Linked DNA regions of Lepisosteus oculatus. The protein of the gene in region 2 binds, or shares a complex with, the protein of the main gene of each other region. Links are inferred from orthologs where the notes say so. Each region holds a gene or a part of one and is shown on either strand. Other genes may lie near its edges.

Region 1 (10,163 bases), on a different chromosome or scaffold from region 2:
TCCTTAAAATTCAAATACACTCCACAAGACAGTCCAATTACATTAATATCTAGAGACAAGGCTTTTACCTAATGTAAATATAGAGAACAGTAGAGATATCCAGATTTCCTGTTTCTAGAATTATAAAATGCCAGAAGAGACAAATTATTTTGAAGCCTCCCTACATCTGAAGTAACACACTGACAATGCACTTTCAGCAGGCTTAGAGCTCCCCCTTCTGATGTTCATATAACCCTTCGAGAACAGTCAATTTTTGGCATAGAAAGCCTTGAAAACCTTAAGAGATGAAGATGGAGAATATCTCATGGCTGTATTTGGCTTTAAGACCAGATCTTGCTTCCTTTTTGCTCGATACTTCCAGGATTAATAATCACCACAAAGCACATGGCAGAAATAATCAATGGCTTCACAAAACTCAATAAGCAAGCAATATGCTGACATTTTGTCATCCGAATGATTTAAAATGCATTAAGAACATGAACAAGAACATTAAAGACATGCTTCCGGTTCTCAATTATGAGACCACAGGTCTACAGCCCGCTCACTCAGAAGCACAAGCTGGCCAGCAGAGAAGCTGAAGCTGCAATACCTCTATAGGGCCTGCATGATCACTAGTAACTCTTCTCTTCGCCCAGATGTGCTCTATGGATTTTAACGGGCTTTAAAAGGTCAATCCTTCCAACCACACCCTGTTAGAAGAGATGCTAGACCAGGTGACCCACCCACCCACCCGAGAGGGCAGCTCACGAGACTCTCCAAGACAAAGCAGCCCCTGAAGTCTAAGCGGATGAGGCTCCCATCAGAAGAAGAAAGAAACCAATAACTTACCTTTTCATACTTTAAATTGTTGTGCCGCAGAAAATCATTTTTGTATTTTGGGTGAAGGACGTTAAACCGATGTCGAAACAAGTCCATCTCCTGCTGTATAAACCAGCGCCTCAGGTCTTCCCTGGAAACGGAGGAATCATTTTTATCAGGACATATCCTACTAGGACACGACCGGTCCCTGAACACCTCTGCTCGTGCGTGGGTACACAGACAATTCGCTGCTGTGCAGGCTCACCAAGGGCACTGAGACACCATGTGAACCCAGGAGGAAACTGGCAGGACGGAACTGCAGACTTGAGCCCAAGAGATGCCAAGGAGCAGGTCAGCACATGGCCACTTGCGCTCGTTATTAGACATCCTCATCCTTCAGAATATTAATTCATCCATATATGACTGATTACATGAAGTGTAAATTCATTGTGGTTTCTGGTTGCTGGTTTCAAATTGTGTTGAACCAAAAGTGTTTAAAACAACTTTTTCTTATTGCCTACAGTATATACCACAATGCACGCATATGCCCTGAGCAAGGCCCTTTACCCCAGCAGCTCCAGGGGCGCCATTTAAACGGTCAACCCTGCGTTCTGACCCCAAGCTTCTCTCCCTGTCTGTGTATCCCATGGAGAGCAAGTTGGGCTCTGTGAAAAGACAAATTCTTAATGCAAGAAATGGTATATGGCCAATAAAGTAATCTTATCTTATCTTACTGGAAGAGCAGTTACAAACAGAAATGAGGCCATTAGGGCTATCCAGCTCATTTGGTTGCAAGCAGCCAATGGAGCTCTGGATCTTCGATACCTGTTCTTTAAAGAAGCTAAGCAATCACCTTCAACATAGGTCTGGGAAGCTTGCACCATACTCCCACAAACCTATGTGTAAGGAAGCACCTTCAGTAAGGTTCATAAAAGCTATTAACAAAAGCTTTAAAGGCTTGTGATTAGTGACATTCCTTTTTTACTTTAAAAAAAACCCTATACAAGTTGTATGAGCAGTTTTCCTTTCAACAGGAGGGCAGGTGTTTTCATGCACACTGAGCAGAGACACTTACGTCTGGCAGTATGCAAGGCGAAGAATGAAGTGAGAAATGTGGTCCTTTCTTCTCTTTTCATACTCTGAAGGCCCAGTTTGTGGCTTCTTCTCTTCCTGGATAAGTCAGAAAGCATTGGAATATTAATGTGGGCTTAAAAATAGCAAATCTTTCTCAAGGATTCGACAAACGTTTCAAAAAGATATATAGGTCACCACTGCACCTAGTTAAACCAGAAATAAGTACAGTAAGTGTTTGCTTCAAATTACTCTTTGACTCTCCCCATGAACTGTGGCATTAAAACATACATAAATGTTTATTTTGTGCTTGTTTTATGCTGCACAAAAGCTTTCCTTAATTTTTTTATTTAAACCACCGAAGTGCATAATATGGAAAGGCATTTGGCACATGGACATCAAGCACAAAACAGAGCACCCAGAGTGAAGAGACAGCACCATGCAGTTCCATTTTGAAGCACAAGGGGTCTCCAAATTCCAGTTTCCCAAAGATGTTTTAACTACTGTATTTCTGAAATAAATTTGAAGATTATCTCAATATTTTAATATATGTGCACTGAATTCCATAACCATGCAACCCCTATGCAAGTCCAGATAAGTTATTAAATGCGTAACAATTCCAGGCACACAGCACAGCTTACAATGAGACAGTTTTAAATAAACTTAGCTCATTTTTTCCAATTCAAAAGCTATGAATAATTAAATGCTTCGTAAAACTCCTTAAAATAAATTAGCCTGATCATTAATTTAAGTTGCAGGAAAAGACTATTCTGGCCAACATAAAACATCTGTTAATTTAACATGCAAATTAAAGACTTCAGACAGCTAATTATGCACTTCCTAATGAACCCCTCTGTCTTCTTCCCTGTGGCACCCAGGTGCAGCTGACTGAACCCACACTATCAGAAACCAAGAAGACCGCAGTGTCTTACTGTCCCAGGGGGTAACCACAAAATACTGCACTTCCAGTCGAACACTAACACTGCATGCTCATCTTTTAACTTGGCTTGAAGAAGATGAAACCTTGAGGAGTGCTTCTCCCATGCTGCTGAATAATTTGACTGGGACACAGCGCACCGCTGCATTAAAAAAAGGTCCTCTGAGCACAGTCTCACTCCCCTGCACCAGTGGTCCACAGGACTGCCGAAAAGTCCCACAGGAGAAAAACCAAAGTATTCAAAATTATTTAAATATTAAGGGGACACAGTGGTCAGCATTGCTGTCCAGTAGTGCCGGAGCCCTGGGTTCAATTCCAGATGTGAGGTGCTGTCTGTGTGGAGTTTGTATGTTCTCCTTGTGTACACATGGGGTTTCCTGTTTCCTCTGAGTTCTCACGTTTCTCACACAGTCCAAAGACATACTGGTAGATTAACTGGCTTTTGGGGAAATTGACCCTGGTGTGTGTGCATGTGCATGTGCTGGGAGAGGGGCACTGTGCCAAACTGAGGTGTATTGTGGGATGAAAAAGGTTGAGAAACACAAATTTTATGCTGGTTTTACATTTCATATAGGAGCTTCCTGTTCATAGTGTACATTTACAATGCCTCATTGTGCACTTCATATTTTACACTTCTTTCAACTGATTTTTCCCCGAGTAACCTCCACTGCCAGTATTCGAGGTGTATACAGTATTTAACCAAGTCAAAACAACATCTACAACAATCAGAATGCACCTACCATTTCAGACCTGTATGGAAAGTTCAGAGTTTTAATCTCACTGTCCAGCTTCTTAATATACAGATCAGATGTTTTCACATAGCTCACTCCAAGGTTTTCCACAGTCTTAAGAACTGGAAAAAGAATTTGAGGGAGGTGAGAAATTTAAAAAGCTAATTTTTGCAGTTTAAGTAACAAAAAGCACAGAGTCCTTCACATCTACAGTCTATAAAAGCACCACTTGGTAATGTAACCGTGAACCACAGCAACGGCTCACAGTGTGACAGGGAAACACTCCCTAGAGCTCGCAGGTTCAGCCTGGGACAGGAAAGCCCTTTGCCAGATCTTTGCCCATCTTTTCCAGACACCCTCAAAAACTACTTCAAAAGGAGTCGGTACAGTTAAAACCAATACAGCGTTTTCTATAAAGCAAGCTCAGTTGTAAATATGAAATAATTTTCATTTAATGTAACCAAAAATGTATTTTTTCGTCAGCACTTATTTCAGTTACTATATCAGCTCGGAGGCGGCAACCTTCTTCACCGCACTATATCTGGGGTTGTTCCCCAGATATACTTGTCCTCCGCATTCAGCACAGAAAGACACGCATTGGTCATTGCTACAACGCCGTCATCTTTTGACTTTATGACTTAAAACAAATGGACAACGTTGTGTTTTTACGTTTCAGCCTTTCAATGGCAAAGGTCTCAAACTCGGAGAGGGGGATGTTTTCAAGCGGCGGTTGACTGTAGAACTGAAGACAGTGTCCGTAGAGCTCTGCCTGGTAGTCTCCTGTCACCTTCTTGTGTTTTTTACGACTGAACTCCATGTTGATTTCTGAAGAAGAAAAAATGCGCATACACATTTACCATATACATATACCGTATACCCAGAGAGAGGATCGCGTTTAACACATTACTAACAATGCTGCCTTTTATACCCACTGCAGGGGATAAGTAAACAACATACTAGCTTCGTTTTCACCGTCAGGCTTCTGAAATAAAACTAACGTGAAGCAGTAGCTTCAGGGTAGCCCTGTACACGTAAGTCGATCCTCCTGAAAATCGGTGTATGTCACTGCAGTGTAGTGAAAGAGCTAAGGGTTATCCCTGCCCTGCAATCACGGGACTCGTTATTCTTGAAAATTAGTTGCGTGGCTACAATCGAAAGACTTCATAAATCGCGACAAGGCATGGTTCCGAAAAGAAAAAGCAACAGGAGTTTGCAAGACAATAAAGAGAACCCCCATGCAAACCGACTCCACACACAAGCAGAATGGATAATATCAAGGTGGTTTTGTCACTACGCAATTGTGATAAAATATTGCTACTCACAACCGCAATTATCCAAATCGTTTCTCCTCTCTCTTGCTCTTCCAACTACCGCCAACTAGCAGCTCCCCCAAAGCGCGCGTAAGTGACGCCATCATCTGAACAAGCCAATCACAGCGGTCGTGCCCAAGAACCCGCCTCCGGAAGTGTGACTGTGTCGCGCTAAAGAAACACGTGACTGAACTTTGACAAGTGTGTTTTGGAGTTGGAGTTGCTTTTTTTGGTGGCGTTAAAGACGTTGCTTTTTGTGACTGCTTTTTCAATTGAAGTGATCAAACTGGTATCAAGAAACTCTGAAATAGAAACAGATGTGAGGTTGTTACCGTTCTGGCTTGAAGAAGGCGCGCATTTCAGTGTCTAGACGTCGTAAACCGTCTTTATGTCTGCCTTAAACTTCAAGTTGGATTTGTTACTGTGAAAACTCTGTGATAAAATGGTGTTATCTGTTGATATGGTGTTTTAGATTTCCACTGCCCCGTGACTGGCGACGCTGGCAATGAGGGTATTTGAAGTAACATCACAAAAGAAGGGATTTTATTTCACAAGACACGAGGTGTCTTATTTTTGCACAGATACTCAAGATAGTGAGTGATAAATACGAAGCTTGTTTTAACAGCCTGAAGTTAGCATGTTTTTTTCGTACTGTAACAACCCATTCTTTAATAATTTTTATTGTGTCTTAGACGTACTAACAGTGTCTTACATTGTTGCGCCTTTAGCCTTACGGGAGAAAAAATCTCACTTTTCAATGTAGACATAAACACCGAATTTCCAGCTATACCGTGTGCATTTTGGAGGAGGGTACAGATTTCTACGGGGTACCGTGACTGGACATAGACTAGAAATTCGTCTTTTTCCCTTCTCCATTCCCCGGAGAGAGTGATGTACCGAACCAAGACAGTGCACAGAGCACGTATCGATTAATAAACGATGTCCTGATTTGTAAATTGTAAAAACAGCTGATAATGATGAAGGCTCGAACACATTATTTTTTAGCCTACCATCAATTAAAGCTGTTTCTCAGGTGGCTCTAGCTTATAACAGTACTTACAAATGTATTGCACTGTATTAGAAATTAGTAGTTCAGGTGGGTAGCTGCGTCAGCATGCGTAGGCTGCAAAGGAACAAGTAATAGGTTTATTCCATGCTGAAAAAAAGAAGAAAGAGAACACAACGTTTCGGCCGTGGAGCCTTCTTCAGGTGTCACCTGAAGGACACCTGAAGAAGGCTCCACGGCCGAAACCTTGTGTTCTCTTTCTTCTTTTTTTCAGCATGGAATAAACCTATTACGTATTAGAAATTAGTTTATTATGTAGTGGCACCAGCGGAAAGGAGGAGGATTAAAACGACCCCAGTGCGGGGCTCTGATTGGGTAAAGCACAGTCGCATGCGTAGTGACGTCCTGTTCGGCTGCCCAATCGGACACCGTATTGATTTTTACAACAGCCAATCAACAAGCAGATCCTTAGCGCTAAAGAGAACACGGAAGAATTACTTGTGACTCGGGTTGAAGATGGAGGGTAGCGTGTGTGGTTCATTCGTGACCTTACCTGAAAGATCTGTTGATCTCAAAAACAGCAGAGGACATTCTGCTTCCCTAGGGCTGTGGAAGTGAGGCGTATATCACCTCCACGTGAGTTTAAAGACACGTGATGGTATGCACACGATTCTTTTCTCTATTAAACGATTTGATTTCTGTAGCAAGCTACATTTGGTTAGGTTTCAATTCAGTTGTCTGAGTTCCCGAAGCTAACTCTACAAGGATTGATACCTTCCCCTATAATCCTTCGTCATTCATAAAAGAAACAGGATTATAAAGTCTCCCAGAATGTGTGATGACTTCCGCGACAAACGCAGTTAACTAACAGCATTTCTCCGGAATCTGAGAATGTGAATCCCATAGTCTTCCTCAATAAAAACGGAAATAAATTCCCCAAGTGCAAGGAACAGATTTAACAGGCCTACGCGTGGTTGTCTTGTACTTTTTCTTTATTATTTTCTTCAAACCTCCTCGCGGCGTAAGACTGTATTTTCTATGTAATGAGAAATACCATTTTTATAGTATGCTGTATACATGTAAGTAGGTTAGTGTTAAGATATTCCAGTAATTCAGACGTGGGCTTTTTTGCATTAATATCACAATGCACATGGATTGTAGTTTAAAAACTGCTGTACCAGCAATAATATCAACGGAATCTGAGTACCAAAACCTTTATTAAGTTGATGTTGCTTAATCACCACATGTGGTCTTACAATACAGTAAGCCTCTAGGAAACAATTAATGCTGATTTTTTTCTTTTTACTTGGCCATTTCCAATTATCCATTTCTAGGAGCTGAGATTGTCCATATCGAAACCTTAGCTAATCTTATACTGTTTATAACTAAAATTATACTGTGTTCATCCAAAGTTAATCATTCTGTTCATCCAGTGAAAATATTTACAACAATGTGATCAGGTTAGAAGATCAAGGTTTCTGTGAATATAGTTTCTTTCTTTTGTCCATATGTTCATAACCTTTGTTTAGAGATTACATCCAGCAGAGATGGCCATCCTGGCTGAGTATGCTACTCGCAAGGACCCAGCTGGAAAAGCCCTGAAAATTCTTCAAGCTGAGGCCAACACACAGTTCAGGCGGCTGCGGTCCATACTGTATCTGTTGGAATCAAACCTCAGATGATCAAACTTCCCTCTTAACTCTGGAGCCCACTGGTAAAGGCTCTTCAATGGGGCATTAAGAATCCGGAGTTAATCTCCGGTGATATCTTCCTGCCAAAGTTTAAAACCAAAACCTTGCTTGGACCGAGAACAATTCATTCATCAGAAAAGGAGACGGAGTCTCTCTTTAATTAGCACAGTCAGTGATGCTGGCTCTCCGTCTTTCGGATGAGATGTAAAACGGAGGTCCTGACTCTCTGTGGTCATTAAAAATCCCAAGGTGTTTCTCGAAAAGAGTAGGGGTGTAACCCCGGCGTCCTGCCCAAATTTCCTATGCCTCCTAATAATCCCCCTCTATGAATTGGCTACATTAATGGCTACCATAATCCCCCTCTATGAATTTGTTCTCATCACCCCCATCCCCTGGCTGTATCAGCTTAAGCTGGTACTTGTTTTTTGAACATTTAACTGCTATCCAAATATTAATGCATTTGAACATAGATTCCTAATTTATTACATGTTTATTATGGCCCTAATTTTAATGAGCAAAGCAACTTTATGTGCAGATAGTTTAAAATTTGATCACAGTTAACATTCCTTTGGGCATTTATGGAAATGTATCTGCTAGATTTGAATGCTGATTATCTAATGGCATTCAATAATTTTCTAATTAAGTTATTTACATTTCATATAATTCTTAATGTCACATTTGTGTGGCATCAGCAGCGTGTTCATTTTCTGTAAGAAAATAAACGGATGTTGGCACAGTCGCGCAGTAGTCAGCATTTGTGCCTTGCAGCGCTGGGCCCTGGGTTCAGTGTGAGACTTGGGGTGCTGTCTGTGTGGAGTTTGTACGTTCTCCCCATGTTTGTGTGAATTTCCTCCCACAGCCCAAAAACATACTGATAGGTTAATTGGCTTGGACCCTGGTACGAGTGCATGAGATTCTGTGTGTGTCTGTCTGCCAAGCGATGGATTGGTGTCCCATCCAGAGTGTATCCCACCTTGGACTTGCTGCTTGCTGGGATAGGCTCCAGCTCCCCTGTGACTCTGAATTGGATGAAGCGGTTAAAAATGAAAGGATGGATAAACTGTTCATTGCATGATACAGGTCGGGCTACCTCAGGAAGCAGATGGAGATCTTGCTGAACCCCCTTGTGCTGCAGATCAGCTCCTCCCGTAAAGAGTATTTTTTCACTTCTATGAAGTCTCCCAAGCAAGTGCCAGAGAGATTGAAGGCTGGATCTTCCACATGGATCTTCTGAGGTCCTTTTCCATAGTCGAAGAGGTGTCCATCAGGTCCCCACCTCTCTACCTGCCCGGGCTGCCTGTGAGAGGCTCAACAGTGTTACTGCAGTCTTGCTGAGCCCAAGGGGAGCAAGACTGGACAGTGACCATTTTGAGAAACGGCTGCTTCTGAAGCTGAACCCGAGGTTTTGGAATTAACAGTGCAGATATTGATACTTGCAGTTGAGTTTGAAAATAATAAAGATGCAAGTAATCTGAGTCATCTGTGTTTATTGCGATTTGCTCTAGATCAGATGAGTAGGATGCATCTAGTAGTTTAGCACAGTTAAGTGAATCTAAAACCAGTTTTAAATCAGAATTTCTCATTTTTAACACTTGATCCTAGAGTTGTTCTAGGATTCTAAGAACATTGTGACTGTAACTAGGTGTGTGAAAAATAGTGCATCGGATAAAAGTAACTGGTTTGTAATTCAGGTTAATAGCAGATTTTCAGGGGTAGAATTTTAAGGATGGTTACTTTTTTTTTTACTTCTGATACTTTGGTGCTGTTAAGCAATTATACTTTTTTCCAGTGGAATAAGGACACAGACACAAACTCCCAGACTCCCTGGCTGGGGAAAAGTGATATTCACTGTAACACGGGCTTTCCCCACTAGCGAGAGTTACCATAGCAACTGCCTCTAACACCAGTATTCCTGCTCAGTCTCTCTTTGGAGACAAAGAACCCTGCCATCTTGGCATACATATTCCCTGTGTAATGAACACGCCCCATATTTAAGCAATTACACAGCGAATAACACAGAAACAGCTTTGGCTGCATCACCCACAGCTGTTAGAAGTATTTTTGTCACTAATTTGTAATCGTCCCCTTGTAGATGGTACTCCAAGGAACAGTATAAAATATCACTTTAGGGCTGTATATGTGACAGAAGTTGTACTTTCAGGTATTTATACTGATGGCTTAAACAAATACAAGATTGAGGTCTAATGGAGTTAATTAAGATTTTTAAATTCGGATATCAAATGCACTGGAAATATGAATAAAAAACAGCGATATTAAAATGGAGTGAAATACCACAATTTGGCAAGAGGTGTGAAGTCAGTCTTTTTAGCATGTGAAATGCTGAAGATTTTAAAACAGAGATGGTTAAAAGAGGCAGAGAATATTTTGATGTTTGGTTCATTGGAGAAACTGCAAGTATAACCTGCAATAAGCTGGAGGTAACATTGTGTGCACAGATAGTGTAAACGCACAGGGGACTGCATCCTCTGTGCTTGCGATGCACCGCAGCCAAAAACCCACGTGATTTGGCATTCTGAGCAAAACTCGAGTCCCACTCTGCTTCTCCACCCAACATATGTAAACCCACCCAGAGACCATTAGTGGCATGAAGCCCAGCAA
Region 2 (9,783 bases):
GGTGACACCCGTCGGGTGGATCAAGCAGTACTTCTTGCCTGCATTTTGTTTCCCGGTTTTACTCAACCTTGGCTCTCAGTTGTTTTTCAGGGAGGGCAGGGGAAACGGAAGGCGAGAGAGGAGAGGTGGCCTTTGCAGTGTCTTCTGTACCCTTATTGCATTTTATTGGCTAGCGGGATTGTGTTAGACATAGCGTTTCTCGTGTCTGCCACTGTAAAGAGGGGCGTTTCCCCCCGTCCCCCGTCCCCTCTCCTCCTCCGCTTCTGTAGCGTCTCCGAATTTCCTCCAAACCGCTCTGAAACTCTGGGAGGGGGTGGGAGGTGCGTGTTTGCACCCACTTAGGCAGATCCTCACCAGCGGGTGCTGTCGAGAGAGATAGCTGGCGCGACCTGCGGGCGCCTTTCCAAAACAGAGGGCGGCGGAGCACTGAATGTTTCAGCTTGCTACTGGATCTTACTGTTGTAGATTTTGAGTTCTTCTGTTTGTTATTTTGGGATTCCAGAATCGAAAGCGTTTTGTTTTTTGGCGGGGGGGGGGGTGGGTGGGTGGGTGAGTTGATTTTCTGCCGAATCATATTTGGAGCTTCCCTATGGGTTGTGTTTTTTGTTTTTGTGCGCGTTTGTTTTGTATCCACTAATAAAGCCACCTTCGGTTTCGGATTCTTTTCCGCCTCGATCTTCTGCCGTATGAGGTCAATAAAACTCCCTTTGGATTTATTTCACGATCATCTTGTCTCAATTTTTCCCACGTAGAAAACAGCGTTGTCTCAGGGCCTACTCCATTATGGGCAGTACGAGGTAATGGAGCAGAGTTTAATAGGCCATTATCATAGGATCCCCAATAAAGTGTCTGCCAGCGAGCGTTCCCTATAATCTATAAAATATAATCTAGAACCTTGGAAGGCCGCAGATCGCTTTCCCCAGAAGGGGTTAAAACCGGGACCCGGATTTCCGGTAGGGATCACGGTGCGGCACGGCGGCGTGGATGAGCTATTTCTTGAGCCGTACTTTGGGAGGACGCCGACACGGAGAGCCCGTTTTTTTTGGGGTGGCGTTTTAGCGCCTGCTGGGGAAAGCGTTTCCGAGGCCTTCCGAGGGAGGTCGGACTGAAGGAACTAGTTCCGACAGAACAGCCAAGAGGAATTGGGAAATTAGATTATAGACAAAGCTCATTGGCATACCCTTTAATTGGGGATCCTATTATAATGGCCTACTAAATAATTGGCGTACACTTTAATTGGGGATCCTATTATAATGGCCTATTAAATTATAGGCAGTGCTCATTGGCATACCCTTTAATTGGGGATCCTATTATAATGGCCTATTAAATTATAGGCAGTGCTCATTGGCATACCCTTTAATTGAGAATCCTAATATAATGGCCTATTAAATTATAGGCAGTGCTCATTGGCATTCCCTTTAATGGGGGATCCTATAATAATGGCCTATTAAATTATAGGCAACGCTCATTGGCATACCCTTTAATTGAGAATCCTATTATAATGGCCTATTAAATTATTGGCGTACACTTTAATGGGGGATCCTATTATAATGGCCTATTAAATTATAGGCAGTGCTTATTGGCATACCCTTTGATTTAACTATTAGAATGGCCTGTTGTAGTTCTTAAAGCCTAGATGTGGTTTTCTGCCAAGACACTCTTCACTTGTCCCGTAGGTGTCTTGCAGTGCTTCGAAGCTGTGTGAGCACACAGGGGAAGCTCTTTTGAGTGCCCATGGGGGTTAGTCTCCAGTCGTGGGAGCCCTCCGGTAATCTAGTGCAGGGTGCTAGTCTTCTACGCGCCCTAAGGGGGGGAGAGGGGGGCACTGGTCTCGGGCCAACAAGTCGATTGTACTTGTGAGCGTTTCGTGTCTTGTCTTCGGGGATAAGGTGGCATTCCTGAGGCTGGTGTGCCGGAGATCCGATATTTCCCCCCCCCCTCCTCCCATTCCACAGAGAGTTCTTCTCCTCCCAGTCTGGGGGCTGCGGTGTGGGCGTTGAGGGGGCCGCCAGCTCGGAGCACCTGTGAGGTCTCGTCTTGTTTCGGGGTTGTTTTTATTTTCTACGATGTAAATAAAATGTAGGAGAATTTCAAGCCCTGCGCACATCCTCGTTTTTCTGTACTTTTTGATTATATTTTTTAAATAAACCAAACTTCTTTGGCTGGGAAAACCGGTGTGGAGTGCGTTTTCTTTAAACACCTTTCTGCGTGTTGGCCTCTCTCTAACGGGCACGTTAACCTTCAGAAATCGGGTGCCTTTTTACCTAGTTCTCTGGGAAATGATGTTCCAGATTTGTGTCCAGTGTTGGTATCAAAATTTGTATTAATTAGTATTATTAATTAATTAAATATTTGAATTAACAATTAGCATTGTCAGTATTAATAGTATTAGTACTAATCATTAATACTATATATATAGTTCTTAAAGCACTTTTGAGTAAGATCATGAAATACACTGCTCCAGCACTGAGAGAGACAGAGAACAGGCAGGTGAGCCACTACAGACGTCATACTGTCTCCCCACTGCATCATGGGAAATACACTGCTCCAACACTGAGAGAGACAGAGAGAACAGACAGGTGAGCCACTACAGACGCCATACTGTCTCCCCACCACATCATGGGAAATACACTGCTCCAGCACTAAGAGAGGACAGACAGGTGAGCCACTACAGACGTCATACTGTCTCCCCACTGCATCATGGGAAATACACTGCTCCAACACCGAGAGAGAACAGACAGGTGAGCCACTACAGACGCCATACTGTCTCCCCACTGCATCATGGGAAATACACTGCTCCAGCACTGAGAGACAGAGAGAGGACAGACAGGTGAGCCACTACAGACGTCATACTGTCTCCCCACTGCATCATGGGAAATACACTGCTCCAGCACTGAGAGAGACAGAGAGAGAACAGACAGGTGAGCCACTACAGACGTCATACTGTCACCCCACTGAATCATGGGAAATACACTGCTCCAGCACTGAGAGATGGAGAGAGAACAGACAGGTGAGCCACTACAGACGCCATACTGTCTCCCCACTGCATCATGGGAAATACACTGGGAAATTGAGATGGGGAAAAAGATCATGAAGACAACTGATTATGAAATCAGCTCAGTTAAAAACAAGGGTTTAGAATGCAGTAGAAGAAGCAGGCACAGATGCCAATGACATAAAGTCCTTCTGATAACGGAGAAAGAATGGAGTCTGGATTTGAGGGAGTTTAGAGAAGGTGGCTGTGATATCCTTGGGGACAGAACTCCAGAGCTCTGGGGCGCAGCAGGAGAAGACCCTGTCGCCCCCAGAGTGTAGACGAGCTTGGGGGGGGACAGACAGGAGATCAGAGTCAGAGGAGTGAAGTCTGAGGGGTGGAGGTGATGGAGACACCATGAAAGTATTGCTGGGAGTCTTACGAATCTTAATCTTTAATCTTAATCTTACGAATAGTTTAGTAAAGAACTATTCTTAAAATGTATGCATACAATATTTTATTTAGTTAAATCTCCATTTGGCATCCTGGCCAAATTTCCCCCCTGGCCTTTTCCCATCATGGCCTCCTAATAACCCCCCTCTCTGAACTGGCTCCATCACTCTGCTCTCCTCCCCACTGAGAGCTGGTGTGTGGGGAGTGTCCAGAAAAGCCCTATATAAGTGTAAGCAATTATTATTATTATTATTGTTATTATGTTTTGTTAATGGTTAGAAAGCATTTAAAAAAAAACCGTACCTAAGCAATATGGCCGTTGGATTCGCCCACCGAGTCTTTTACCTATCTAGGCGTCTTATATCGATGGTCTGGGCCACGCCGGAAGCGCGGCGTTCTGATTGGTTGCTAGGGGAGGTTGTCGTAAAGCGTGACGACGCCGGCGGGAGATTCTCTTTTCGCGGCAAGAAAAAAAAGAGAGAGGACGGTGCAGCTGGGTTTGTAAGAAGGAGCATTGCAAAAAAAAACGATTCCAGAAACAGGCTGTAATTCGCAGACTCAGCGCAGGTCGTGAGCGGTCGCCTCCCTGCAAACGGCGCGGAGAATCGCCCCCGTCAGGGTCCGGATACTCGCAGCCGAGCTGGGCGCCCTGCAGCCGGGCGGAAGATGGCAGCCGTCACGGCCGAGAGCATCGACACGGAGCTGAAGACCTTCGATATCGACTGCGGCGAGGGATCGGCGGTGCTGGACAGACGTGAGCGATTCGTCTTCATTGCTGGGTCCAGTTATGGGGTGATCTTGCTAGATCGCTGCGCATTTTTGGGGGGGGGGGGGGTGTTTGACCTCTCACCCGCAGTTAAACCCCCCTCTCGTTGCTCGGGGTGCGGGGGAGTCGTTTTTTTAAAAAAAAATATTGATGCATAAGCAATCACAACGATTAGAATACAAGCAAGTCACATTTCAAGACAAAAACATCGCCGGTGGGGGGCACATAGGACCAAATAAATTCAAATTATAGAAAAAGTTGGAACACATAAAATAAAGATCACGTCCGCACCGCTTTCATGTTTTTTACATCCAGTTTTAAAAATGCTCAAGCAGAGGAGTCTTCCCAGACCGCTGCATTTTGTGTATGAAATAACGGGCCGTTATACGTTATTATAATTAAATTGATGACGGATGATGTTTTAGTATTGCTTCCGATGGGGCTGAAACTTAACATCGTTTTCTTTCAAACAAATGTCAGTATTGGGCTCTTTTTTTCATAGGAGTGTGCGACTCCGTCCAGAAAGTTTTTTTTTTCTCCATGGGACTGAGGCGCCCTCTGAGCGAGTGCCTGTGCCTGAAACAGGGACAGCTTTTCTCTTCGCCGTCCGACAGCATCGATGTCATAACTGGAAACTTCTGACTGAAAGCAATACTGCCAGCAATACATTAGGCTTCAGTCAGTTAAAAATATAGTGCTGGAGCAGTGTATTTCCCATGATGCAGTGGGGAGACAGTATGGCTTCTGTAGTGGCTCACCTATCTGTTCTCTCTCGGTGTTGGAGCAGTGTATTTCCCATGATGCAGTGGGGAGACAGTATGGTGTCTGTAGTGGCTCACCTGTCTGTTCTCTCTCAGTGCTGGAGCAGTGTATTTCCCATGATGCAGTGGGGAGACAGTATGGCGTCTGTAGTGGCTCACCTGCCTGTTCTCTTGTCTCTCTCAGTGCTGGAGCAGTGTATTTCCCATGATGCAGTGGGGAGACAGTATGGCTTCTGTAGTGGCTCACCTATCTGTTCTCTCTCGGTGTTGGAGCAGTGTATTTCCCATGATGCAGTGGGGAGACAGTATGGCTTCTGTAGTGGCTCACCTATCTGTTCTCTCTCGGTGTTGGAGCAGTGTATTTCCCATGATGCAGTGGGGAGACAGTATGGTGTCTGTAGTGGCTCACCTGTCTGTTCTCTCTCAGTGCTGGAGCAGTGTATTTCCCATGATGCAGTGGGGAGACAGTATGGTGTCTGTAGTGGCTCACCTGTCTGTTCTCTCTCAGTGCTGGAGCAGTGTATTTCCCATGATGCAGTGGGGAGACAGTATGGTGTCTGTAGTGGCTCACCTGTCTGTTCTCTCTCAGTGCTGGAGCAGTGTATTTCCCATGATGCAGTGGGGAGACAGTATGGTGTCTGTAGTGGCTCACCTGTCTGTTCTCTCTCAGTGCTGGAGCAGTGTATTTCCCATGATGCAGTGGGGAGACAGTATGGTGTCTGTAGTGGCTCACCTGTCTGTTCTCTCTCTGTCTCTCTCAGTGCTGGAGCAGTGTATTTCCCATGATGCAGTGGGGAGACAGTATGGCGTCTGTAGTGGCTCACCTGTCTGTTCTCTCTCAGTGCTGGAGCAGTGTATTTCCCATGATGCAGTGGGGAGACAGTATGGTGTCTGTAGTGGCTCACCTGTCTGTTCTCTCGGTCTCTCTCAGTGCTGGAGCAGTGTATTTCCCATGATGCAGTGGGGAGACATTATGGTGTCTGTAGTGGCTCACCTGTCTGTTCTCTCAGTCTCTCTCAGGGCTGGAGCAGTGTATTTCCCATGATGCAGTTGGGAGACAGAATGACGTCTGTAGTGGCTCACCTGTCTGTTCTCTCTCTGTCTCTCTCAGTGCTGGAGCAGTGTATTTCCCATGATGCAGTGGGGAGACAGTATGGCATCTGTAGTGGCTCACCTGTCTGTTCTCTCCAACTCTCTCAGTGCTGGAGCAGTGTATTTCCCATGATGCAGTGGGGAGACAGTATGGCGTCTGTAGTGGCTCACCTGTCTGTTCTCTCTCAGTGCTGGAGCAGTGTATTTCCCATGATGCAGTGGGGAGACAGTATGGCGTCTGTAGTGGCTCACCTGCCTGTTCTCTCTCTGTCTCTCTCAGTGCTGGAGCAGTGTATTTCCCATGATGCAGTGGGGAGACAGTTTGACGTCTGTAGTGGCTCATCTGCCTGTTCTCTCTGTCTCTCTCAGTGCTGGAGCAGTGTATTTCCCATGATGCAGTGGGGAGACAGTATGGCGTCTGTAGTGGCTCACCTGTCTGTTCTCTCTCTGTCTCTCTCAGTGCTGGAGCAGTGTATTTCCCATGATGCAGTGGGGAGACAGTATGGCGTCTGTAGTGGCTCATCTGCCTGTTCTCTCTGTCTCTCTCAGTGCTGGAGCAATGCATCTGTCACCGCCTGCAGGCGGACACTATCGTCCTGGAGTGGGTGGCCTTCAGCACGACCAAGAGCGGCCTGACCCTCAGCTTGGAGAACCTGGAAGTCTTCGAGCATGAGGTGAGCGGACCCCCGCCTGTGCGCGCTGTCGGCGAAGTCCACACCCCTTGAGGAGAGGGGAGAGGGCAGCTCCTGGGCGTGACGTGTGTCCGTTCTCTCCCTGCCTCCCAGGTGCTGAACAAGAGGACCTCCAAGTCGCGGCCCAGCCTGGCCAAGAAGGACCTGCGTCTGGACAAGCCCAGGGACTTGCACTCGCTGCAGGAGATGTATCCTTCCAGCCAGGCGGCAGCCTTTCTAGGGAGATCCGGGGTCTCCGGGTTAAATGATCCTTTCATTTGGCCAGCTGAATTGGTTATGGGGATTTGCCGAGTCATCAACAGTCTTGGATGGAGTTGGCTAGTTGAACAGGATTTATCAGAGTTTGCTGAGTCATCAGTAGGTTTGGATGGTGTTGGGCAGTTGAATGGGATTGGTCAGAATTTGCTGAGGGCCACCAGGCTATGCTTCATCATTTCAGTAGGTGGTTCGTATTTGAGCCAGAGCTCATCCAGTTTTCTAGGCAGGAAAATCCCAGGGCGTTTCTCGAGAAGAGTAGGGGTGTTACCCCGGTGTCCTGGCCAAATTTACCCCCCTGGCCTTTACCCATCATGGCCTCCTAATAACCCCCCTCTCTGAACTGGCTCCATCACTCTGCTCTCCTCCCCACTGAGAGCTGGGGTGTGGGGAGCGGACTGGCGCCTCATCCAGGTGGGGGTACACACTGCTGGGGGTGGAGGGGATCCCCATGACCTGTAAAGCGCTTTGAGTGGAGTGTCCAGAAAAGCGCTATAGAAGTGTAAGCAATTATTATTATTATACCAGTCAGATGCGGGGGCATCTAGGACAGCGAGCTCGTCCCTTTTCTCTCAGGAGAGTGAAGAACTAGTGCAGTTGGCCTGCGCCGCAGTCTTCCGGCGCTCAGTGTTCAAAGGGCAGCTGTAACGCTGTTTTTAGATTTCAGGGTTAGAAGGAGTCAGGGCTGATGATTGCCTCTCAAACCACAATGAAAGTCAGTTGGACACAGTGGCTTGTAAAACCTCCAGTTGACATCACAAACGAGAGGACGTTTCCAGGTCTGCGATTCAGAACGAGGCAGCAGGACTTCCGGTGAGGTGAAGCGGCCCTGTGACCCTGTGAACAAGTAGGCTTGTGAGTCCAGCTCTTCTGATCCAGTAGAAATACTGCTCTCCTCTTCCAGACGGTTTCACTGGCAAATACTACTCACTGGTGAACTCTGCCTGCGGATCACGCTGGAACATTTCTGTGGTGAAATGTCTGCTGCACAACCTGGACTTATTCACTCGTACATCTCAGTGCATTAGTCAGTACAGGGACTAGTGAGCAGGAAGGGCTGATTCACATCTCAGTACATTAGTCAGTACAGGGACTAGTGAGCAGGAAGGGCCGCTTCACATCTCAGGACATCAGTCAGTACAGGGACTAGTGAGCAGGAAGGGCCGCTTCACATCTCGGTACATCAGTCAGTACAGGGACTAGTGAGCAGGAAGGGCCGCTTCACATCTCGGTACATCAGTCAGTACAGGGACTAGTGAGCAGGAAGGGCCGCTTCGCATCTCAGTGCATTAGTCAGTACGGGGACTAGTGAGCAGGAAGGGCCGCTTCACGTCGCAGTTCTCATGAGCTCTCGCCAATGTGGCGACTTGCAGTACTTTCCCTAAATTCACGGTTTTGTGCTGCATTCGGAATTTGTCAACATGTTCTAGAACTCATTTTATTTTGTCACGAGAGAAAGTAACCGGTGTGAAAAACTGGGACTACGGTTCCCCTTGAGCGATCGAAAGGCGACAATTTCAGGATCCTCCCGGAAAATCACTCTGCCTCTGCCACTGGAGTCCAGGCAAAAATCTGTCGGGAGCAGAGGGACTGAGACACGCTATCACAGCCCCGGACAGAAAAACGCCCAGATAATGAAAACTGCTTGGGTGTGTTCCTCCCAGACAAGCGATCAGAGGGCAGAGTGGAGAAAAACACTGCATTTTATTTGGACTCGCGATTTTTTAAAAGATCTGTGCCTTTGAGTTTGGTGTCCGCCCCAAGCGGGAGGGGCTACTTTACCCCAAGAGTGGCGGGAGTCTTGAACAGATGAACGGATTGTCACTTTTTTGATCTTCCGGTCCGGTGACGAAGCTCCATCGCTGTTCCAGACACCCGCTACCCTTTACGTTGAGAGGGGAGTGTGTTTGTGCAAAGACCCGTTCCTGAGAGTTTGTGCAGGGCAAGATCTGCATTTTCTTTAACTTTGGATGCCAGGATCCAGGCAGAAGAAGAAGATGAAAGCCTCATGGATTATTATTCCACCCCAGCGAAGGTGAGAGTCCAGGCAAACATAGGGAGCACCCACGAGATTGTCATTGGTGTCGTTATTGATCCTTTGATTCAGGTGCCAACACCTGGATCCCGAACCGCATATTTGTCGTAAGGCATAGAAGGGACCGTTTATGTGTTGGTATCATTCTTTTCAGGCTACAGCATCTTTTCAAAACATTTTTCTAGCTGGTGCAGGACGTCAGTGTATTTGGAGGTGAAGTCTGCCTGTTCAGACACGCTCCATCTTTACATGAAGAGTAGAGGGTGTCTGGAACAAGCTGGACACACTGGAGCACATCTGTATTGCAGAACACACGTGTATGTCAGGGCTCTGAGAACTATCTGACCGAGTGTGTGTGTGTGTTTCAGGACTCTCAGGACTATCTGACCGAGTGTGTGTGTGTGTGTGTGTGTGTGTGTTTTAGGACTCTCAGGACTATCTGACAGAGTGTGTGTGTGTTTCAGGACTTTGTGAGTGTGTGTGTTTTAGGGCTCTCAGGACTATGTGTGTGTGTGTGTGTGTGTGTGTGTGTGTGTTTCAGGGCTCTCAGGACTGTCTGACTGTGTGTGTGTGTGTGTGTGTCAGGGCTCTCAGGACTGTCTGACCGTGTGTGTGTGTCAGGGCTCTCAGGACTGTCTGACCGTGTGTGTGTGTGTGTCATGGCTCTCAGGACTGTCTGACCGAGTGTGTGTGTGTGTGTGTGTGTGTTTCAAGGCTCTCGGGACTATCTGACCGTGTGTGTGTGTGTGTGTGTG
Region 3 (10,661 bases), on a different chromosome or scaffold from region 2:
CCACGGCACCGGAGACGCACAGAGAGAGACGGACAGACGCGCTGGGAGAGGGACGGAGCGGTCGTGGCTTTGCCATCTCCTCACTCACCCGCTCCACGTGAGACACCAGGCGATCCCAGCGCTTGACGGGATTCTTTTCATTGTGAAAGTCAGTCTTCAGCTCCTTCTTCACATGTGGGTAGGAAGTCAAGGACCTACCCTGAAGCTCTGGGAACTAAGCGATACACGCTCACTCAACAAGAACTCAAGAACGGTCACAGGCGAGGAGATTAACAGCAGGCCACTCATCCCATCAAGCTTGTTTGGTAGCCAAGGCATCATCATCAATAGCATAGCTGGGTGGCTTGTTCCACTCTCCCACCACCCTTTGTGAAAAGATGTGCCTCCTTTTCTCAGTTTTAAATGGACTTCCCCCTTGGTGTCCACTTGTGATCTCTACTCAGTGTTTCACCTTCTGTTCAAGTCTAAAGACATTAATTCAGAATATTAGTGTAGGACACTCCCTTCAGACTAAAGAGACTCAGTTCCTCCTGCCTGTTAGTGCAGGACACCCCCTTCAGACTGATACATTTGTATCAGTGCAGAATATATTCAGTTGTTCTTTAATGGACTGATTCTAGTGCAGCAACATCTTTGATCTATGAAAAGGGGGAATAGACAGGCAGCTGTTTTTGGAAAGGATATCTTCTGGCACAAGGGCCAGCACTTTGTCGACAGACTCTTTGCTGCCCAGGATGTCTTGTTTGACCACAGCATAGTCCACAAAGTAGCGCGAGATCACATTCAGCGATTCCCTGCAGAAAAGACAGAGTCAGACACTCTCATTCTTTTTTAAAGCCAAGCGATTAACACAAGCAAGTTAACATTGTAACCCTCATGATCAGATGACTCTTGTTACACTTGTCTGCTGAGGGTGTCAACTGCTAATTGAATAAGTACTTTTTGAAGATGCAATGATCAAAACGAAGGAATTATTCGATGAAGAACCTGCCCTACCACACAAACAGGATGTGGAAAAAGCATAAGTCCAAGATTCACACACCAAAATGGCTCAGTCTTAAGAAAAGGGAGTTTTTCTTACATGACAAAGGGATGAATGAGATCAGGCAGTTGCACTTTTTTGATTGTGTCCTCACCACCCTGTCAGAAAGCAGAGAGAAGCACACCTTTACTCACAACAGAATATTGAAGGGAATATAGTTCATATATTGATAGAATTAACAAATTCAGCCTAAATATGTATATTCTTCCTGTATTTGCATAAGTTGTCTTCAAGGAAGACTAGGTTGTTGCTATAAGTGACGTTGGTGCACCAGTAGGGGGCGCACTTCCACACTGGCCCAGAAACTCCAAACCAAACACCCAGTAGAGAGACTAGGGACAGAGCTGAAGGAATTGTCCTTCAGGTGACATGTTAAACTGAGATCCTGGGTACTTGGTTACTAAAGACCCTAGTACACTGTTTACAAGAGTAGGGGTGTCAACCCCAGTATCCTGGCTCAATTCCAGTCTGAGCTGTACAGTCTGGTCTCCCCAACCCCCCCGCCAAGTCCACCTGAAGCAGCAGGCGCCCTTCAGTGCTGGATAAAGAGCCTCCTGCGATACGAAAAGTACTCTGAGATACTTTTCCATGAGAAGCTCCACATGAATGGAAGGAACTAGAATTATTTTAACTCCTCTAGTCAATGTAAGGAGTTTCTTATCCGCCATTTCTTCCGATTGACCTCTCGGTGTTTATCCTGAAGTGCGCTGAGGGTGGAAGTCCACTCCCCGGAAGATCTTGACGACTGAAGTCAAGGTCATCCTCCTGGTTCACCCCCCTCCGACCCCCGACCCCCGACCCCCCCGCCTTCTGCCCCGCCCACCTCACCTTCACAAGACTGAGGTACTCAGCCACTGCTGAGCGGGCCGTCGCCGAGAGCTTCCTGGCTGCCTCGTCGCACACCCAGCAGTGCACCCCTCGCCTGCCCGAGTACACCCACAAACAGTGCTTGAACCCAAAGTCCTCTGGGGAGAGAAACCAGGGCCCGTCTGGTTACACTTCGGAAGAGTGAATGGCAGACTCCTACAGTGGTGCTCAAGGGGTGGGATTTCTGTCCTTCTTACCTCCACAACAAAGACTACAGCAGTAGCCAAGGCAATGTGCCAATATATTGATAAACTACATCTTTCAATCACAATCCACGCTCAGAACATTTTGCAGATTTTGGGGGTCTATTTTTACAATGTCCCCACCCTGACCCATCCTTACTCTTAATTTGCTGGATTTAAATAACTAATTATTTCAATACCCCCGCCCCCCCCACCAACCAACCATTAACCTCTTCTCCAGCTCTTCGGCGGGTTTAGAACTATACAGGCCTATAAAACCCGGACCACCTGTCTTCTTCCGCCCTACCTCTCAGAGCTCTGTCCAGGATCTGAATCGCGATGGTCATCAGGGTCCAGCACTTGGAGCAGATGTCAGCAGCACTGCAGGAGAACAGGGAGAGGAAGCCTTTACTCTCGTTCAGGTGTGGAATTTACCGAAAGGCCCGCTCTCTGACCCCGGGGGGAGCAGACACGGACGCCAACGTCTGGTGGAAAGTGGTGAATACCTGGCGCCTGTCCCAAGCCAGCATGGGGTTTCGGGACAAAGGGATCAGGGATTTCCTGTCCCATCTGTCCTGAACTCAAGAAGGATTCAGAAACTGCCCAGTTTTTTTGTGTAACCTTTCTCTGGTTTTCTCAGTCCTGCTGACATTAGCGGAAGAGAGTCTCTCTGGTAGGTGTGCAGGTGTAACGGTGCTAACTGAGTTACAGAAATGACCCTCCGAAATCCAGACAGTGTACAGCTCTGCTGCGTCAGAGGACTGGTCTTGTTGTGCAGCAGAGTTAGGGACTGGAGCTGAGCTCTGAGCCCTGAGAGACTGGGAATAAATCCCAGCAGAGCCAGAGGACTGGTCTTGTTGTGTGGTAGAGTTAGGGACTGGAGCTGAGCTCTGAGCCCTGAGAGACTGGGAATAAATCCCAGCAGAGCCAGAGGACTGGTCTTGTTGTGCAGCAGAGTTAGGGACTGGAGCTGAGTTCTGAGCCCCGAGTGACTGGGAATAAATCCCAGCAGAGCCAGAGGACTGGTCCTGATTTGCAGCAGAGTTAGGGACCGGAGCGCAGAGTGATTCAAAAACTGCCCAGCTGACTGGGCAGAGTGACCTGGAAGCCAGTGGGGTTCGTCCCTCTCTCGCATCTGCACTGGAAATCGACAATTCCTACAACACGTCACACACCTCAGCCTGGAAGAGCTGACCTTTTGGGAGGGTTTATGGAGGTGTATATGCCCTGGGGAACAGAGACAGTGGAAGACTGCAGCTCCAACATGTCAGCAGGCCCCCACACCCAACCCCCCCCCCACCAGCTCCGCAGGGCTTCCCTCTCCAGGATACCTGCAGCACCTCCGGACATCGTCATAGTCCGTCATGTCAATGTCGAACACCAGCTCCTTCTCCAGCGCCTGGAAGGTCCCAGACTTCACCGTGTTGTGCTGGTTCGGCTGCAGAGAGAAAGTGGGACAAGAGCAAACTCACTGACAAGACTGACTCAAACGGACCGACTGCCCCCTCAGGCGGCTGGTCTGCAGGGCTACTGGAAATCTGGGCAACATCACCAGCTCAGACCTGGGCTGGAAGACTGATGATCTTGCTGAAAATGAGGTTGCTGTAAGTCTACCAGCCACAGGGAGCCGGGTGAGGCAGTCAGAACCCCAGGATCCCATGAAACAGACAGACCAACCCTGTGGCTGAAGACGGCGCCAATGTCGATCTTGTAGGGGTTGATCTTCTGAATCTCCTTCTCCAGCTCGCCCTGGCTGCTGAAGGACTGGTAGCGCACGTAGATGTCATCCTTCAGGGTGAAGGAGAACTCCCGGTTCTGGAAGCAGCTCTTCACCACTGACGGAAGAAAGAGAGAGAGAGAGGCAGGAATTTTATCTATTTGCTTTTGCAAACTTTGCCTTAATATTCAAAACTTCGGCCACATGTTACATGCAAACCTTGCCCAGATAAAGCATGTGTCCAACTTGATCGCTCCATTGCCCTCACATGTGAAACGTGCTAGACATACTCCAGTGCACGTCTCACACATTTCCTCCTAAATCTATGAGCTAGTGAGCACACAGGTGTAATAAATGACATAGTTCAAGTAGGGAGCTGCCTCAGCATGCGTAGGCTGCCAAGGAACAAGTAAAGGTTTATTCTATGGTGAAAAGAGGAAAAAAAACACAATAAATGACATTCCATTACGTATATCGATTTTCGACTATGTGAGGCTTAAGTACTCAGAAAAAAAAAAGATTTCATGCGCTCTACTGCCTCCTGAACAGCATGCACTTCACCGAGACGGGGCAAATGGAAAACTGCGCATCATTTGCTGGCGTCGGTACCGACGTCTAAAAACTCAAAAGTTTAGTTATAGTTAAAACAACGCAGACAGACTTCGCACATTTCCTCCGAGGCTTTGAAACTCACCGCCTCCGTAGCTAAGCCAGCGGTAGTACTGCGAGAACGGGAACAGGCGCCTGTAGTACAGCGGTAACAAATCCGGGAGAGAGGCAGGGTCATATTCACTGGCCGAAGCTAATTTGAGCATTTCAGAAAAAAAACACAGGCGCGGGTTTGTGGCAAGGGGCTTTTAGAAAGCAAAACTGGATCGCTCTCTCGTTAAAAATATTACAACCCCACAACGCGCTTCTCCGCTTTCGGTGACAGCTGCACACTTACAAAACAGCGCGGGAAAGAATCGAGGAGGACGTCCCAACAACACAACCAATCTCCGTGGGTTGGTGGGATATGTAGTTTTTTAAGCAAGTGTCTCACATATTCATTGCTACGAGTAGATCATTTCTAAACTACAATTCCCACAATCCACAAGCGGCGCACGGTACCAATATGTCTTCCTGCCAGGACGCTGATATTTGATTGGCTACCACATTACAAATAACTGAATACGTCAGAAGGCACTGCCTAGAACAGATCAAACACCTGACATTAAGACTGGGGGGATCTATACTGATGGAAAAAATAAACGCAGCATTTTCTGGAATGAGTATACTATAGTTATATCTTTCACAAAAAGTGGTAAATTTGTTTTAAGCCCTCTGACCAGCAATACCAGCAGCCATATCACCCTGCAACTCACAACTGGCAGCCCACTGAAGCTCAGCAGGTGTGAGCCTGGTCAGTACCTGGATGGGAGACCTCCTGGGAAAACTAAGGTTTCTGCTGGAAGAGGTGTTAGTGGGGCCACCAGGGGGCGCTCACCCTGCGGTCTGTGTGGGTCCTAATGCCCAAGTATAGTGACAGGGACACCATACCGTAAACAGGCGCCGTCCTTCGGATGAGATGTAAAACCGAGGTCCTGACTCTCTGTGGTCATTAAAAATCCCAGGGTGTTTCTCGAAAAGAGTAGGGGTGTAACCCCGGCGTCCTGGCCAAATTTCCCATTGGCCCTTACCAATCATGGCCTCCTAATAATCCCCCTCTATGAATTGGCTTCATCACTCTGCTCTCCTCCCCACTGAGAGCTGATGTGTGGTGAGCGTTCTGGCGCACTATGGCTATCATCCAGGTGGGGCTGCACATTGGTGGTGGTGGAGGGGAGTCCCCATTACCTGTAAAGTGCTTTGAGTGGAGTGTCCAGAAAAGCGCTATATAAGTGTAAGCAATTATTATTATTAATACAGTTTGAACAGTGAGACCTTGCAACTTGCCAGTCGCACAAAAGCTCGTTAGGTGCACTTTTACCCACGAAGTCCAGGTGGAACGATGCCTGATCAGGTCACCTTTAAAAAGGTTAATTCAAAGGTTAGGTCACTACAAGAAAAAACCCACAGAGTCAGTCAGTTTTCTGTGCATTCCATATTGCCTCGAATGTCACCAGAAGCAAGGGAGAGGGCCATTGGCATGCTGCAGGCAGGCATGTCATGTGCCAGCATTGCCAGACACTATGGAGTAAACCGCTCCACTGTGTCCCAACTGCAGAGGAGGTTTCAGCAGACCGACAGGACAGATGACCGTCCAAGATCCAGTCGCCCTTGAGTGACCACGCCAGAGCAGGACCGACACATCAGACCGGTTCATCTGAGAGGTCGGTTCAGATCTGCCACCCGTACTGCTGCTGAAACTGCTGGCAGACACAATGCCCACATCAGTGACAGGACAGTGAGGCTCCGCACTGCTGGCCTTAGAGCAGGGCGACCTGTCACAGGCCCTCCGTTCACACCTCCTAGACATCACCCCCGACTGGCTTGGGCCAGACAGATGGACTCGTCAGCAGTGGCATCAGGTCCTCTTCACGGATGAGTCACTCTTCAGCCTGTTCCACGCAGACGGGAGGGCCAGAGTGTGGAGGTGGAGCTGTTGCATTTCTTTTTTCCATCAGTATACTTCATGCGTATCTGGTTTATAAGGTTGACAGAGCTTACTCTTATGAACAGCTCCCGAGAATCTGTAATGACTAACTAGTCAGGATCTCAAATGAATGTCTCATCCAAAGGGCAGCGTTTATTGCAGCAGTGTCCCGTATCACGATCCAAAGATCCACTACACTTAAAAGCATCTTTAATAAAGCTTTAATTTCACTTTACACAGAAAGTGGAAACACACTGGACCAGACACTGGATCAATGAGCACCGTTGGTGTCAGACACTGGACCAATGAGCACTGTTAGTGACTGAGACTGGACCAATGAGCACTGTTAGTGACTGAGACTGGACCAATGAGCACTGTTAGTGACTGACACTGGACCAATGAGCGCTGTTAGTGTCAGACACTGGACCAATGAGCACTGTTAGTGACTGACACTGGACCAGTCTGCACTGTTAGTGACTGACACTGGACCAGTGTGCACTGTTAGTGTCAGACACTAGACCAATGAGCACTGTTAGTAACTGACACTGGACCAGTGTGCACTGTTAGTGTCAGACACTGGACCAATGAGCACTGTTAGTGTCAGACACTGGACCAATGAGCACTGTTAGTAACTGACACTGGACCAGTGTGCACTGTTAGTGACTGAGACTGGACCAGTGTGCACTGTTAGTGTCAGACACTGGACCAATGAGCACTGTTAGTGACTGACACTGGACCAGTCTGCACTGTTAGTGACCGACACTAGACCAATGAGCACTGTTAGTGTCAGACACTAGACCAATGAGTAATGGATGAGCTTCAAACACGTGGGAAAAATATTCATTTCCATCACAACGCTTGACTGTGAAAAATAAAAAGTGAAATTAAGGAAATACTCCCCCGGAATATGAGTGCTATTGCCGCACGTGGAAATGATTCTCTCCCCCCAAACGGCCGAAGCTCGTTGAGAAATAGTGCACAGTCATCTCTTATAGCAGCAAGATGGGAGGAACAGAAACTCTTTTTTTTTATCCAGCGCACCGCAGACCTCGGGATGCGCTTGTCCCCCGCCGCAGGGAGTGCCCGGTGGAAAGCGGGTCAGGCTGTGCGGGGAGAGCGGGCGGAGGAGGTGCGCTCTCCCGCAGCCCTCCAGCCACAGGTCCGGCGCGCAGCGGCGCCGCACCGCTCCGTCAGCTCTGACCAATCCTGGAGAGCCCGGTGACGAACTTCCTGCCGACTGTGTACACAGATATATATTTATTTTTTGCTGTCATGGAGGGTGGACTTTAAAAAAAAAAAGATAAACAAATCGAACATGATCGCAGGAGTAAACAGAAGTCGAAGCCTCATCGCGGGGGCTGGAGAGCGACCTGCGGCGTCTTGTGGCTTCCCGTAGCCGAATCGCCGTCCGTGTTCACGCGTGGCGACTACTGATAGTGTATCTTTAGGTCGTTTTATGATGTTATGATTTCGCTCAAGGACAACCACATCGAATTCTCCAGGTGGGCTGGGGGGGGGGTCTGGTTTCAGAGCACCGCGGACAACTCCAGCTAGACACCGTGTCAGTGTTTACTTGCGGGACGATCTATAACCCGGGTCTTTAAGCCTGCAGGTCCAGTCGAGTCGGCTTCCGCGGGGATGCAAAGACGCAAGTCAGACCTGAAAACGCGACGCTAAAACCCGAGTCGGGGGTTCAGTTACATTTTGCGTGGAAAAGACAATACACAGCTCTCTTCCGGTGTCGGCGCTGCAGTCTCGTAGGTGAGCGATTCGGTACTTCTCTGCTGGGGCTGCTGGAGCTTGTGCTCGATAAGAATTGTTTCAGTAAAACCTGGTGGCTTCATGTACCGACTGGCTCCAACAGGCCTTTGTTGTTGTTTTTTTGCAGAAAACAAAAGTTTAAATGCGAAGGTGTTTTTGTGTGTGCTTGTTTTTGTTTGATGTACTGTATTGCCTATTTTATTTGCATTTTTATTGCAGGAGAGGGTGCCGCGCGATCCTTTTAATCCTGTTTGACAGTTCCTGCCTCGGGTCTGTCTTTGTTGTTGAGGGGCTTTAAAGTTTCTCAAAATTACAGCGTTCTAAATTGGCTAATGACCTTTGTTTTTTTTATTTTCTCTTGGCTAACAGGAAGAAAACCCCGATCAAAAGGATTATATATATGGGATCACAAGGTACGTTTTATTCATCCCAGTCTGTGGGATTCGTTTTTTCTTTATTATTGTAAGGGAGACTTAAAGGGGGAAACCACACACACACAACAAGAAGAAAAACACCGCCGTCGTCACCCGAGCTCGAACCGAATATAAAATTCTTTAAAAAAATAAAAGCAGTCGATGTCATGACGAAAATAATAATCCCCAAGCAAGGTGAGCTTTGTGTAGGACCATCCCTGTCTGCTTCTCCTTCCGCGCTGCGCCGAGTCCTTGGAGCGCCTGTTGGCACCGCTGCTCTCCGAAGCCCAACGAGGAGCATGTCATGTGACACACACACACATATATATATATGATTATATATCGGAAGAAACGACTCCTCTGTTAGCGGTATTTTTTCTGCCTCGCGGGCGCCTGGCGCGAAGTGACGGATCAGGCGCGTGCGGTTCGGCAGGAGCGGGTTCGGGGCGCCGGGTCGGAGCCGCGGCCGGACGGGCCGGACGGGCTGGCTGTGCGGGGCGGGGTTGGGGCTAAATTAGGGAAACTATCTCGACGGTCTCTGAGAGAGAGAGAGAAAAAAAGGTTATTTCTCCTTTTCATTCACAACGCCAGAGCCAGCGTTCTGGGTTCGGGTGTCCGGTCGAACAGGGACGCCGCGGTTATGTTTTAATCTGAAAATATTATTTTATTCCGTGGCGCAAACGCCCGACTACGGTCCTGTTGATTTAAAATGCAAAGTTTTTTTTTTCCGGCGTGATTAGCATCAACACAAATCTACTCCTCTTTTCCCCCACGACGTATTAAAAATTCAGTCTTTTTTAGAACGAATTGAGCGAAAGCAAGATGCTCCGCTGGGAATTTATCTGAAAACGGCACATTAATTTTTCGTTTCGTTGGTTGATTCTTTAGGGACATGAGTGATGTTCAAAAACCAACATTAATGACTGCTGTGACACAAAAAACAAACATTTTCTTGACCGGTTCGCGCACAAGAAATGATAAAAAAGCGAGAACATAACTTTCAATTTCATTCGGGTTACTTAATTGTGGGGAAACTGCAAACCCTTTAACTCCGTTTCCACTGTTAATCATACAGGATTTAGTTCTTAATCTATTCACGAATCAGTTTATGGATTTGTAGATATTGTTTTTCACCTGTTGTTAAGTAATATTAGTAATAAAATTAGCAACAGAATTTCAACGGCCCTATCGAATCGCACGTTGAAATGCTCAGAAATGAAACCTTTTTAATTCAGAATTCGGTGTTGCGAAAATCATGTGTTGAACACATTGTATTGCGTTTATTCGGGGCTTTTCAATCCTAGACAAGGTGACCGTGTAATTGGATTCATACTTTTATTAATTAGACTTTGATATTTCCTTCATTCTGTTTTAATCTTTGATCTGGTTAATAATGAATTATTAAAGTATAGTGTATGTATTGGCCATGCCAAAGGGCTTTAACACTCAACCAGTTGTTTTAAATTAACCAGCTAATCCCTGCACTGCCCAGCTAATCCCAGCACTGACCAGCTCTAGGTCACAACACTGACCAGCTAATCCCAGTGCTGACCATCTCTAGATCACAACACTGACCATCTAATCCCTGCGCTGACCAGTTCAAGATCACAACACTGACCAGCTAATCCCATCACTGACCAGCTCTAGGTCACAACACTGACCAGGTAATCCCAGCACTGACCAGCTCCCTAGGTCCCAACACTGACCAGCTCTCTATGGCTCAATGCTGTCTGGTTAATCCCAGCGCCGACCATCTCTCTATGGTTCAATGCTGTCTGGTTAATCCCAGCGCCGACCATCTCTCTATGGTTCAATGCTGTCTGGTTAATCCCAGCGCCGACCATCTCTCTATGGCTCAAGGCTGGCTGGTTAACCCCAGTGCAGGCCCAGCAGAGATCATCTGTGTGTCGCTGTCTGGAGAAGCCCGGTCCCAGGGGCTGAGTGACACGACCCATTCCCAGACCGGCGATGTGTGGGCTGTCGAGTCCAGCCTGTGCCGCAGGGGTCTCGTCTGGAGGGGCTGCTGGTGGAGGGGTCCTGAACCGCTCCGTTTTCCTTGGGCTCCAGCCCTGAAGACATGTGCGTGGCACTGGCCCTCGTAACC

What was found.
Region 1: pola2 (region 2) and prim2 share a complex: the UniProt entries of both Homo sapiens proteins name them as parts of the alpha DNA polymerase complex. The link is inferred for Lepisosteus oculatus from reciprocal best matches to the Homo sapiens genes POLA2 and PRIM2.
Region 3: pola2 (region 2) and prim1 share a complex: the UniProt entries of both Homo sapiens proteins name them as parts of the alpha DNA polymerase complex. The link is inferred for Lepisosteus oculatus from reciprocal best matches to the Homo sapiens genes POLA2 and PRIM1.

The regions. Positions count from the first base shown.
Region 1 is NC_090712.1:19,997,602-20,007,764, reverse strand, and holds the start of prim2 (DNA primase large subunit), read right to left. Parts: upstream 4,968-10,163; 5' UTR 4,860-4,967; intron 4,363-4,859; 5' UTR 4,355-4,362; coding exon 4,207-4,354; intron 3,660-4,206; coding exon 3,547-3,659; intron 1,969-3,546; coding exon 1,874-1,968; intron 950-1,873; coding exon 829-949; intron 1-828. UniProt on the Homo sapiens protein: Regulatory subunit of the DNA primase complex and component of the DNA polymerase alpha complex (also known as the alpha DNA polymerase-primase complex) which play an essential role in the initiation of DNA synthesis.
Region 2 is NC_090713.1:19,518,597-19,528,379, forward strand, and holds the start of pola2 (DNA polymerase alpha subunit B), read left to right. Parts: upstream 1-3,855; 5' UTR 3,856-4,093; coding exon 4,094-4,181; intron 4,182-6,595; coding exon 6,596-6,720; intron 6,721-6,831; coding exon 6,832-6,926; intron 6,927-8,970; coding exon 8,971-9,028; intron 9,029-9,783. UniProt on the Homo sapiens protein: Accessory subunit of the DNA polymerase alpha complex (also known as the alpha DNA polymerase-primase complex) which plays an essential role in the initiation of DNA synthesis.
Region 3 is NC_090696.1:20,929,026-20,939,686, forward strand, and holds the start of prim1 (DNA primase small subunit), read right to left. Parts: upstream 4,780-10,661; 5' UTR 4,624-4,779; coding exon 4,503-4,623; intron 3,927-4,502; coding exon 3,769-3,926; intron 3,530-3,768; coding exon 3,423-3,529; intron 2,473-3,422; coding exon 2,399-2,472; intron 2,008-2,398; coding exon 1,871-2,007; intron 1,141-1,870; coding exon 1,082-1,140; intron 795-1,081; coding exon 683-794; intron 173-682; coding exon 89-172; intron 1-88. Other genes in the region: probable E3 ubiquitin-protein ligase DTX3, read left to right, coding at 8,545-8,557. UniProt on the Homo sapiens protein: Catalytic subunit of the DNA primase complex and component of the DNA polymerase alpha complex (also known as the alpha DNA polymerase-primase complex - primosome/replisome) which play an essential role in the initiation of DNA synthesis.